Linked DNA regions of Caenorhabditis elegans. The protein of the gene in region 2 interacts with the protein of the main gene of each other region in a pairwise test. Each region holds a gene or a part of one and is shown on either strand. Other genes may lie near its edges. The genes, in order: ifbp-1 and cnt-2.

What was found.
Region 1: the proteins of cnt-2 (region 2) and ifbp-1 interact in a two-hybrid assay, tested with the Caenorhabditis elegans proteins (one large-scale study listed by BioGRID).

What each region holds. Positions count from the first base shown.
Region 1 is NC_003283.11:13,369,333-13,374,606, forward strand, and holds ifbp-1 (Interferon regulatory factor 2-binding protein 1 & 2 zinc finger domain-containing protein), read right to left. Parts: upstream 3,689-5,274; 5' UTR 3,567-3,688; coding exon 3,235-3,566; intron 2,897-3,234; coding exon 2,659-2,896; intron 2,610-2,658; coding exon 2,393-2,609; intron 2,038-2,392; coding exon 1,616-2,037; intron 1,521-1,615; coding exon 1,440-1,520; intron 1,305-1,439; coding exon 1,221-1,304; 3' UTR 763-1,220; downstream 1-762. Other genes in the region: srx-125 (7TM GPCR serpentine receptor class x (Srx) domain-containing protein), read left to right, coding at 345-475, 529-658.
Region 2 is NC_003281.10:10,661,772-10,666,610, reverse strand, and holds the start of cnt-2 (Arf-GAP with ANK repeat and PH domain-containing protein cnt-2), read right to left. Parts: upstream 3,003-4,839; 5' UTR 2,951-3,002; coding exon 2,299-2,950; intron 2,138-2,298; coding exon 2,079-2,137; intron 1-2,078.

The DNA.
Region 1 (5,274 bases), on a different chromosome or scaffold from region 2:
GATTCCCACGAGAGTGTCCATCGCGAATTTACTGTGTAAGGTGGTTTTTTTTATACAACCTCTTCAATTGTTTCAAGAATTGAGTGATTTGACCGCAATAGTCGAAATCGGCTTAGTACAAACATTATTTTGAAACTTTGAATTCATAGAAGTAGTTCAAAATTTCGTCACACTTCTCTGCTTTGCTTGTTTCATGACACGATTTTCTGCAAATTGATGAAATTTGTGAACTCTTGACCGTTGTTATCTTTATCAACTTTTGTTTATTCTCGAGAACAAATACATAAACAATTTTCATCTTCACATGAATACTTTTACCGGAATCTCCTTTTTCCATATTTCAGAGTGTGCTGCAAGACACACTTCACTTGATCGACATGATCAATTGCACAATACTCTTCAAACTCAATTCAGCAATTTGGTATCAGTTCATTTTTCTGTCCGTCAGTTTTCTATCGATTCATGCGCTGGACGGGTGAGTGGACGTTGGTCGAACGTGTTGATAAGAGTTTCCGGAAACATTTACAGAAGCGTCATGCTATATTTCCATACTGAGATACATCCGCAATGGTGTCGCAGATTGTTGAAGCCCAAATCGAGGACTGGAACTATTTTTGTGAACAGATCTAAAATATCTTCCTTCCATCCTTCTGATTAATTCTAATCATTCGAAGTTTTGTAGAATTTATACCGAGTTTTCACATTGAATTCTTGGAATTCGTGAGAGAATATGTGAAAATTTGCAATTTCTCAAACTATATCTTAAGTTTTCTGATCAAAGCTTTATTCAATTAATGAAAAAATAAACTGAAAGCTTTGGTGGGATTGTTGTTTTTTGATTTGTTTGGCAGTTGAATTTTCAATGTTCCAGGGGAGAATGGACTGGGGATAAGGTACGAACATTACAAAGTTTTTGGACTGAAAAAAGAAAAGAAACCGTAAATCCCAAAAGCAGTGAAAAGCGTAATCGAGGAAAAGGGAAATGAGAAAGGAAAAAAATCTCAAGATTTATTACCAAATGTCCCTTGAAATCACACCGTAGTTGGGACCGAAGAGAGAGAGAGAGAAAGAAAACTTGGAAAGGGGGAAAAAGTAGAGATCGTGGTGAAGCAGACAAAAGCATTGAGTGCAGCTTTGAACGGTTTCAGTGGGACTGAGAAAAAAGAGAGATTGAAAGAAAAAATATTTGTGCCTAATGTGCTCCGTGACGTCACAGGTTATCAGTTTTGTGGTGACGTGGCGGCAGATGTGGAAGAAGCCGCAGAAGTTGTTGTGGAGGCTGGAGATGTTTGATTGGCGCCGTTCTGAAAATTAATTCATTCAGAAAATGAAAAAAATCAGTTTAAATAATAGATGTTAGGGGCATGCAACATATTTATTTGAATCCGATAATCAATTTTTTGCATGCTAGTCAATGTCATATGTTAGTAATCACTTACACATGAGGTAGAAGTGTTAATTGTGGATCGTGTAAGAGTGCGATGAGGGTGGGCTCTTTGAGCATTTTGTCTCCGTCTCAACTGAAAACCATGCAAAATGCGGGTGATTTAGTTCCAAACATAAATAACAAAATTGGACAAACAAATTAGTTTCACACAATCTGATAAGGGCATACCTGTGCAGCTGCCGCGGCTGCCGCGGCGAGAGTCGCTGCGTTGGCACCCATCGGTGGAGCAAGACCGTGAGCTTCTCGGGTTCTCTTGAACTCGTCATACTCGTCACCGAGGATTTGTGCAATTTCTCCTTGCATGAATGCCCATGGCATTGCTGATCCGACTAATGGACATTTATCGCCTGATGGGCAGTACATATCACTGCTCTTGCATTGATCCTTGATGCTGCTCCGCGAGCATGGGAAGCAAAACTTGTGAATGCTGACTGTTGGGCATTGTACAAAGTGGGTGTCTTCTAGACGTTCATTGCACAGTGTACATCTCAAAACTCTCTCAATTGGGGCGATCCCTCTCCGATCCTTAACTCCCGGATGGTCTGGTGAATGAGTTGAGGTTGGCGAGGCAGTTGTCGTTTGGGCATCGCCTGAAAAATAGAAGATGATGATGATGAGGGGGTGATGACCCTGGGTGCCAGGCGCCGACAACGACGCCACAACCAACTACACTACCATCCTCTAAAACCGGTTCCGTTTTCAAAGTGTTGACCCCATATCTAGCCCTTTATTTCTCTCGAGGTCACTCATTCAACTCGCTACTCTTTTCTTCTAATTCTTCTAAATTCGGCTGGTTTTCTGTCGGGTCTATCGGTATTACGCAATTCGAGAGGGTGACAGAGAGACGATACACGGGCTAATCGGAGAGAGAGAAGGGGGCACTACTACTTTACGCAACAACCGGTTTTTTGGGACGATGTCAATTTTAAATTCTAACTGACATACCTCTCTGCACTTTTCCATATATTTCAGGCTTCTGCTCTTCGTCAGATTCACGTTTTCTTGGATTTGAATAAGTTGTGCTTGGAAGCATGCTCATCATGAATGGAGCCAAGAGATGAGAATTTGGGCCCAAGCTTCGAAGAGACTGTTGAATAAGATCGTCAACCGCCCGAGGATTGGCTTGTGTCATTTGCAGAAGTCGTTGATGGGTCAGAACTTGCTGAAAATAAATTTGTAAACTATTGCAGTTTTCAATTTTATATGTTTACCTCCAAGTTGTTCATAGTTGGCACATGGAATGGGGACGTGGGAAGTACCGTTGGCTGAGGTGTCCTTTGTGGGCTTATCCTTCCGATTCCATTAGCAGAAGTGACTGGTAATGTTTGAAGGGGTTGTTGTTGTGTAAGTGTAATATCTCGGAGGGATGTCTTTGCATTCTGTGGATCACTGATTCCAACTCCTTGGAGTTTCTTTTGTTGGCGTGTTTCTTCAAGTACGAGTTCAATTCTGAAACAGAAAAAGATATTTGGTGACAAAAAACAAAAAAAGTTCAATTGGTCTTGAAACCTTTTTAAAACTATAAGATCGTGAAGTCCTGCAATTTATAAAAAATTTCGGCAGAAAAATCGTCAAAAAAATATGTTCTTTTTCTAATTTTTTTCAAAAAAAAAATTCTTTAAAAACTTTAGGAAATCTATTACAGAACAAACTTTTAGCTTGCAGTCTTATAAGAAAAAGGGTGTCAAATTTTCATGTCCTGTATCAATATAAGAAAACTTGTGACTTTCACTTTGGAAAATTTTAAAATCGAAAGGAATTTTCATCATCATTATTTCCAAACAAACCTGTCTGATCCTTCATAATTGACGCATCCTCTGCAAACTGGCTCAATATAATCATTTATGATTGCCCACGGCCAGCGTGGCAAATCACACAGGTAACATTGTTGTCTTGGTAATTTCTCATTTGAATTATTATTCGCCTTCATTCCAGCAGTTGTTGCAGTTAGAAGTGAAGCAGAACCGTTGACAGAGGCCAATGAGACGGCGTTCGGAGCCGCGAGCATCTGGAGTGATAGAGAATAATCGACAGTATTATTGTTGTTAATTATAGAAGGTGTTGGAGAAAGAGACATCGATGCCTGCAGAAGAGCAGCCGACTCAGCGAACGAGCCCATTTCCACGAGAGGAATGATTGCAAGAATGATGGGGTAGAGGAATAGGAATGGCGCGTTTCAAGTTCGTGATGGAAGAGAGGGAGAAATTCTAGAGATAAGAAAGATTCCTGACCGAGACGAATAGGGTCGAGAGGTGAAAAAACTAGGCATGGTTTTTTAGTGATAAAAGAAGAAAAGCCGGCAGCTGATAACAGAACGCTGATGCTCTGGTTGCACACAAACAGGGTTGTTCCATGACTTGGTAAACTATTAGGGTAATCGAATATTTTTTTGTATTATTTCAAATAAACAATGGAAAATATCAAAACCATGAGCATGCGTGGGTCCGAACTATTACAGCGATGTGTAACACTTTTTTTGGATGACGAAGAACTCTATGAATAATCGACGAATAGAAGGAGACAGTAAGGGGCGAAGCACTGAGTGACGCATTGAGCACATTGTATTACTATAGTTGTGTACAAAGAATTGGCAAAGAAAAGCTGCAGGAGAAAAAATAAAAAGAAAAAGAGGTGGGTTCCGAGTCTTCGACCTCTCCTCATTCATATTCCACAAGACGTATGGATAGTGCATATCATTAGCATCGGATCTGCATCTTAATAAAGGAATTGGAATGGAAGAAGGCAACTCAAAATTGGCTCCGAAAATGCAAAAATGAGGAGACTCCCTCTGTTTTTGAGACCTTCAAATGTTTTGTTGGGGGAATAACTATTATCAAAAGTGATCAAAATTTCTGACTTATCACAGTTGCACAAAACATCAATTTGCTCAATTTTCAGATCAACATGTTCCTGTTTCTAGATTTTAGATGTTTTGTTATTTGTTATCAGTTCTAGATTTTCCTAGACGCTATAATGGCTAATTGTCAACAAGGCTTGAAAGGTCACTAAACCCCTCCTTATTGGAGAAAAACCCTTCCCAACAACTGATAAGCGGTACGAAGACCAAAGTAGAGGTGTGTGATTTCATTTTGAAAAGATAGAAACACAAGTGAAAGTCGAATTGGCGAGTCATGAGAATAAGTGAGAGAAACCTTCCGATAAGGCCATCCATAGATGTGCTAGGCCGACCAATATTTATTTGGAGCATAGTTCATTGATACTGAAAGCTCAAGAAAAACTATATGAAAGAAATATGGAGATTAGATCTCTCTCTGTGACATGGTGCACCACGTTGCACAATGGGGAAGAAAACGTGGATGTTTGGATGAAAGGAAAATGAAGAGAAATGGGAAGAAATGCAAATTTCATGTTGGCACAATAGATATGCAAAATAAATGGGGGGAAGAAGAATTCTCGATAAGTGCCTTTAACTGAAAAAAAAGATGATTCAGAAAGAATTATCATATTGTTTTAGAAAATTATGGATCTAAAAATGTAGAATAAACAATGTGTAATTGCACTACTGATATTTTGAACAAAAAACCTAAACCAAGATAATTTTGTAAACAACTTTGTTTCAACTCGGGGCTTTGAGCAGAGCATTTGCACATTTACTTTTTTTCAAGCTTGAGAAGGTGCTGTTAAACTATTCATGATTTTAAGCTGATAGGACTTTTCATCAGTATCCAAACAAAAAGAGCCGATCTTCCCACATTCGTATTTATAACTTTTAGCAGGAGTTTAAAATTCAAAAACGGGGTGCAAAGCGAAGTGACGGTCAGAAAACAAGAACAATAAAGAGGGTAGAGAAAGAAAAAAACACAAAA
Region 2 (4,839 bases):
AAGTATCGGAAAATCGACAACAGACATTGAAATTATTATTGAAAGTTGCAAAAAGTCTCTTCGATTCTAATGTTGATAACACTAAAGCCAATATAATACAAATTGCAGAAACATATATTCGTTGGCCGTCGAGTTGAAAATCAAAGTTCCTTGTAAACTCAGTAAATTTTAAAACTTAGCGTAGTGCTCGATTTAACTGAAATTCAAGTTCTGAACTAAACCCGATCACTACTGTCAAAAGGTAATTAAAATCTTGGAACTTTGCCGGAAATTTTAATTTTAGATTATTACACATTCGGCACTGTGCTCTAAAACTACGTGATAATCGAATAATATTTCCCTGTGTTTTATTTTGAAGAACAATATCTACACATCATGCCAAACCTGCACTGAAATTCTAGGAAAATCCCAATTACCAGTTTCAACGAAGAATAGAAAAGTCGTGAGAAAATCCTACATTTATGGACTTTTCAGAAAAACAAATAGTTCCGATGCGTTTCAGCACTGCTTATCGGAGTTCTTCTATTGAATTTCAAAAGAAATAAACCAAAATAGATCAAAAGATGGAAAATTGACCTCTCCTTTATTTGAGTATCCACTCAATTTCAGACATTCTTGTTTGTTTGTTTTGCCGCGACGGCGGTCTGGAAATAAGGTGAGAATACGAAACCTTCTCAGCTAAGTGACCAACGATCGCCCGTGAGCCGCCTTAATTGACAGCTCTTTGTGTTTATTACTTTGGTAAGTACGCAGGTGTTCCTAGCATCCTGTGCTTGTACCAACTGTCCGGAAGTACCCAAAGATTTGAATCTTGTTGCAAAATGTCTAGGTACAACAACATAGAATCTCGAGGTGTCATCATCGTAATTTGTATCCAACCAAGAGTTGCGAGAATCAAAGAGAACGCCGAGGGTGAGAACAACGACGAAAGAGGAAATCCTGTCGTCTGGCGAGATGCAATACTCTACTTCTTTTGAAGATGAGCCGCTCGCCGCTCAATTAGTAATCTCATTAAAATGAGGTGAGGGCAGAAAAATTTGAGTCAAAATCTGGCTGGGAGCAAGTTTCAGATAGGCTTAAGGAAGGGAGCATGTTATATAGATTATTTGGAAGAAATAGAGACTATCGGTAATCTAGTTTTTTTTTGGAAAATTTTTCAAAAAAGTGCCTAATATTTTGGAAAACAACATATACATTTTCCGACAAATCTCAGATACACCGTAGGCCACGCGTGACGTCACCTACAACTAGTACTTGAGATTAGCGCAGGTGCTAATAATAGCCGGGTTTTACACATGTACGTACAATAGCATAATTCCCGCTTACGGAATCTAGCACAGCTGGCTTCGAGTTCAAAAAGTGCCTATTTTCTGTGATGAATTGCGCAATCATTAAAAAATAAATGATAGACGTACTGTTTTTGCAGTGATCTACATCCAAAACTTGATGTATTTGGGAGTGAACCAAGGGTGGGCGGCAAATTTGCCAACTTTGCCGGCCGTACTCGGCAGATATTGGAAAAAAGAGATTTGCCGCATCGAAACTCAAAACCTCAATATGTTCTGAGAGCAAAAGGCGATGGTCGAATAATTACTGTCTTATAATCATAGGTGGGTGGCCAACGATTTTTTTTCCGGCAACCCGACAAATTGGCGAAATTTAAAATTTCCGGCAATTCGGCAAACTGGCAAATTGGCGGAATTAATATTTCCAAATTGAACTGTTTCATCAATTTCTGGTATTAATTCCCCCTTTGTACTACCTTATCTACTTGAACTAAATCTAAGTATGACCAAACCTAATAAATTATTATTATTACTATAAATCTATTTATTAAAAAACGAGCTACCATCATCTAATCTCATCTCTCTCTCTCTGGGTGGTGGCAATTTGTCTCAAAGGATCCGAAATGACCTTCACACATCACGAGATACCCATACGAGCAGCCACCTGGTGACCGCTCTGGAGCATCATTTGGTAATGTGACACCTACCGAGAGCAAACTATATATAAACATTTTATAGTGTTATACAATAAACACAAAATAATAATTTTTGCGCGGTACCGGGAAAACTCACCAATTTCATCTCACTGATCGACCTGCTCAGCGTCCATTCGTGTGAGTTCACAAATGCATCTGAAAATTAGAGAAATTTAAAGTTTTTTCAGAATACACAATATAACTTTTTTTTTGCTAAACATTCAATAAAATTATTGAACCAATGTTTTTACGTTTTTTAAGTTTTTATAAATAAAGTCAGTTTTAATTTAAATTGATGTTTTGTGAATGCTCTTTACCATGATGATAAGTAGGACTTCTAAAAATTCTATTTTTCGCGGAACCCTGTTGCTGCCGCCTGCTGGCCTGAGCGATAGAAGCCGCTGGATATATCACATAGGACGGTGTTGGTACTGGAACAATATCATCATAGTCCGTAGTGGTATGTGACGATGATGACGTCATCGCATCATCCGAGTAACCCATCGACGTGCTCGTCATGATCCTTCTCGGAGGCATCGGAAGCGGCGGAGGTGGGATGTAACGGTGGCGGGATAGGGATCCAGATTCTCGTCGTCTCGATGGCTTTTCAGATCGGAATGACACAGAAGACAGGCTTCTCGTAGCAACGCTAACATTCGAATTCTCCTTATCCTTCCGTGATGAGTGTCTACTATTCGGAAACAGTAGATCCCTCCACCGTTTCTTTTTCCGTTTATCGTCACCGGCTATCTCATTTGCATTTTTATCCATAGTAGTCTCCTCAAACTCTGTCGGATCATGAATTGTCGTGTTGCCACCTCTCCACTCATTCTTCCCATAGTATATTCGACTTTTCTGTGGTTCCATATAGGATCGCGAGCTCGTCACCATCACCGTCGGGCGGTGTGCAGAGGTGCTCGGCGCCACATTTAGGAGATCATAGTAATCGTAGTTTCGGATGAGGGGCATGATTGTGTCAAGAAATGATCATTGGGGGATGGGGGGAAATGTAGAGATATCTGGAAGAGTTGGATATTGAATTAATTTAATTTAATTCAAAGGTGAGAAGAAAGTGAGATTGTAGGATAACGAAGGATATTAGTTGCAAAATATGATCAGGTTAGAAAAAATGAGAAAATTGAGATACAATTGTGACGGGACCCAATAAAATATTCGGAAAAAAGAAATTCGGATACATTTTTAAACTCATTGTTCTTGGCTCTCAAGGTTACTGTAGGTTTTAAGAAACACGTATGTTTATTAGAACTTCAGTAATGTCCAAAAAACCACAAATATCAAAAGGAAGTAGAAAAAGGAAGTAGTAATGAAAAGTTAACATTAAAAATATTAAAGACCCACAAGTTTGGGAATAAGTGAATTTTTGACTTTGAAAAATGCTTACTATTCAAATTAGGGCTTCCATGTAGGCATGAAAACGCCTGCCTGAATAACCTTGAGGCAAACCCGACTGCCTCTCGCCTCAATTCGCGCCTCAGGCTCAATTTGTTTTTCATCAAATTCATAGAAAGGAGAATATTAGAAGTTTGTAAATTTACGTAAGAATACAAAAAAGAGGCTAAAGGCAGGCGTCGGGCCCTGAAACCAAGCCTGCCTACCAAGAAAGCCCTAATTCAAATTAACTAGTTCAAAATTCTAAAACCTGCATAGAGCAACATGTAGATTCTCCAGTAAAATGTCATTTTCGATGCCAGCGCGGCCGACGAGGAAGAAAAAAAGAAGAAGAAGAAGAAGCAAAAGACAAACAAAACCCTGATCGAATTGATCGCGTGAACACAAAAGTCAGAACACTTTTCGGAAGTGTCATGCTGTGGCGATGAGGGGGGTGCCGAAATGTGTGTGTGCCGTTGACGGGCGAACGAACACATTGTGCCTCCTGACCCCCGGGCGCCCGTTACAATGAAAAAGCGGCGGCGGTGGACATTGAAAACGGTTGTTGAAGACGTCGTTTGAGAACAACCAACTACTACTTCATCTCATTCAACCGTGTTTCTTTGCTTTTCACCGTTTTTCTTTGCAAAGAACAATGAACCAACGTCGCGTAGGGGGGCAATGCGCGACGATGATTCCAGAGGCCTCATTAAAGAAAGTTAATGGATTCGTTTTGATACACTTTTGCCTTTCAACTCTAATCGTAAGGAGAGAGAGGAGATATGTGATATCAGAAGATAATGGAACTCTGACACCTCATTAAAGAGTTCTAATTGGTTGAGCTCTTGAATTTTGCAACCATGTGTCGATTTACGCAGCTCGTGAACTCCCCTAGGAAATTAAGAAGAGGATTCAACAGTTTTTTTTTTGTTGAAATTCTTCTCTTTTCATACATTCTTGCTAATTTGTTGGGAATTTTTCGGTGAAAATTTTTCCGGCAAATCGGCAAACCGGCAAATTGTCGGAATTGAAAAATTCCGGCAAACCGGCAAACCGGCAAATTGTCGGAATTGAAAATTTCCGGCAAATCGGCAAATTGTAGGAATTAAATTTCCGGCAAGTCGACAAACAGGCAAATTGCTGGAATTGAAATTTCCGGCAAATCGGCAAATTGCCGGATATGAAAATTTCCGGCAAATCGGCAAATTGCCGGATATGAAAATTTCCGGCAAATCGGCAAATTGCCGGATATGAAAATTTCCGGCAAATCGGCAAATTGCCGGATATGATAATTTCAGGCAAATCGGCAAATTGACGGAATTTAAAATATCCGGCAAATCGGCAAATTGACGGAATTGAAAATTTCCAGGAAATCCGCAAACCGGCAATTCGCCGAAAATGAATATTTCCGGCAAATCGGCAAACCGGCAATTTGTCAAATTTGTCGACAAAAAAATTTGCCGACCTAA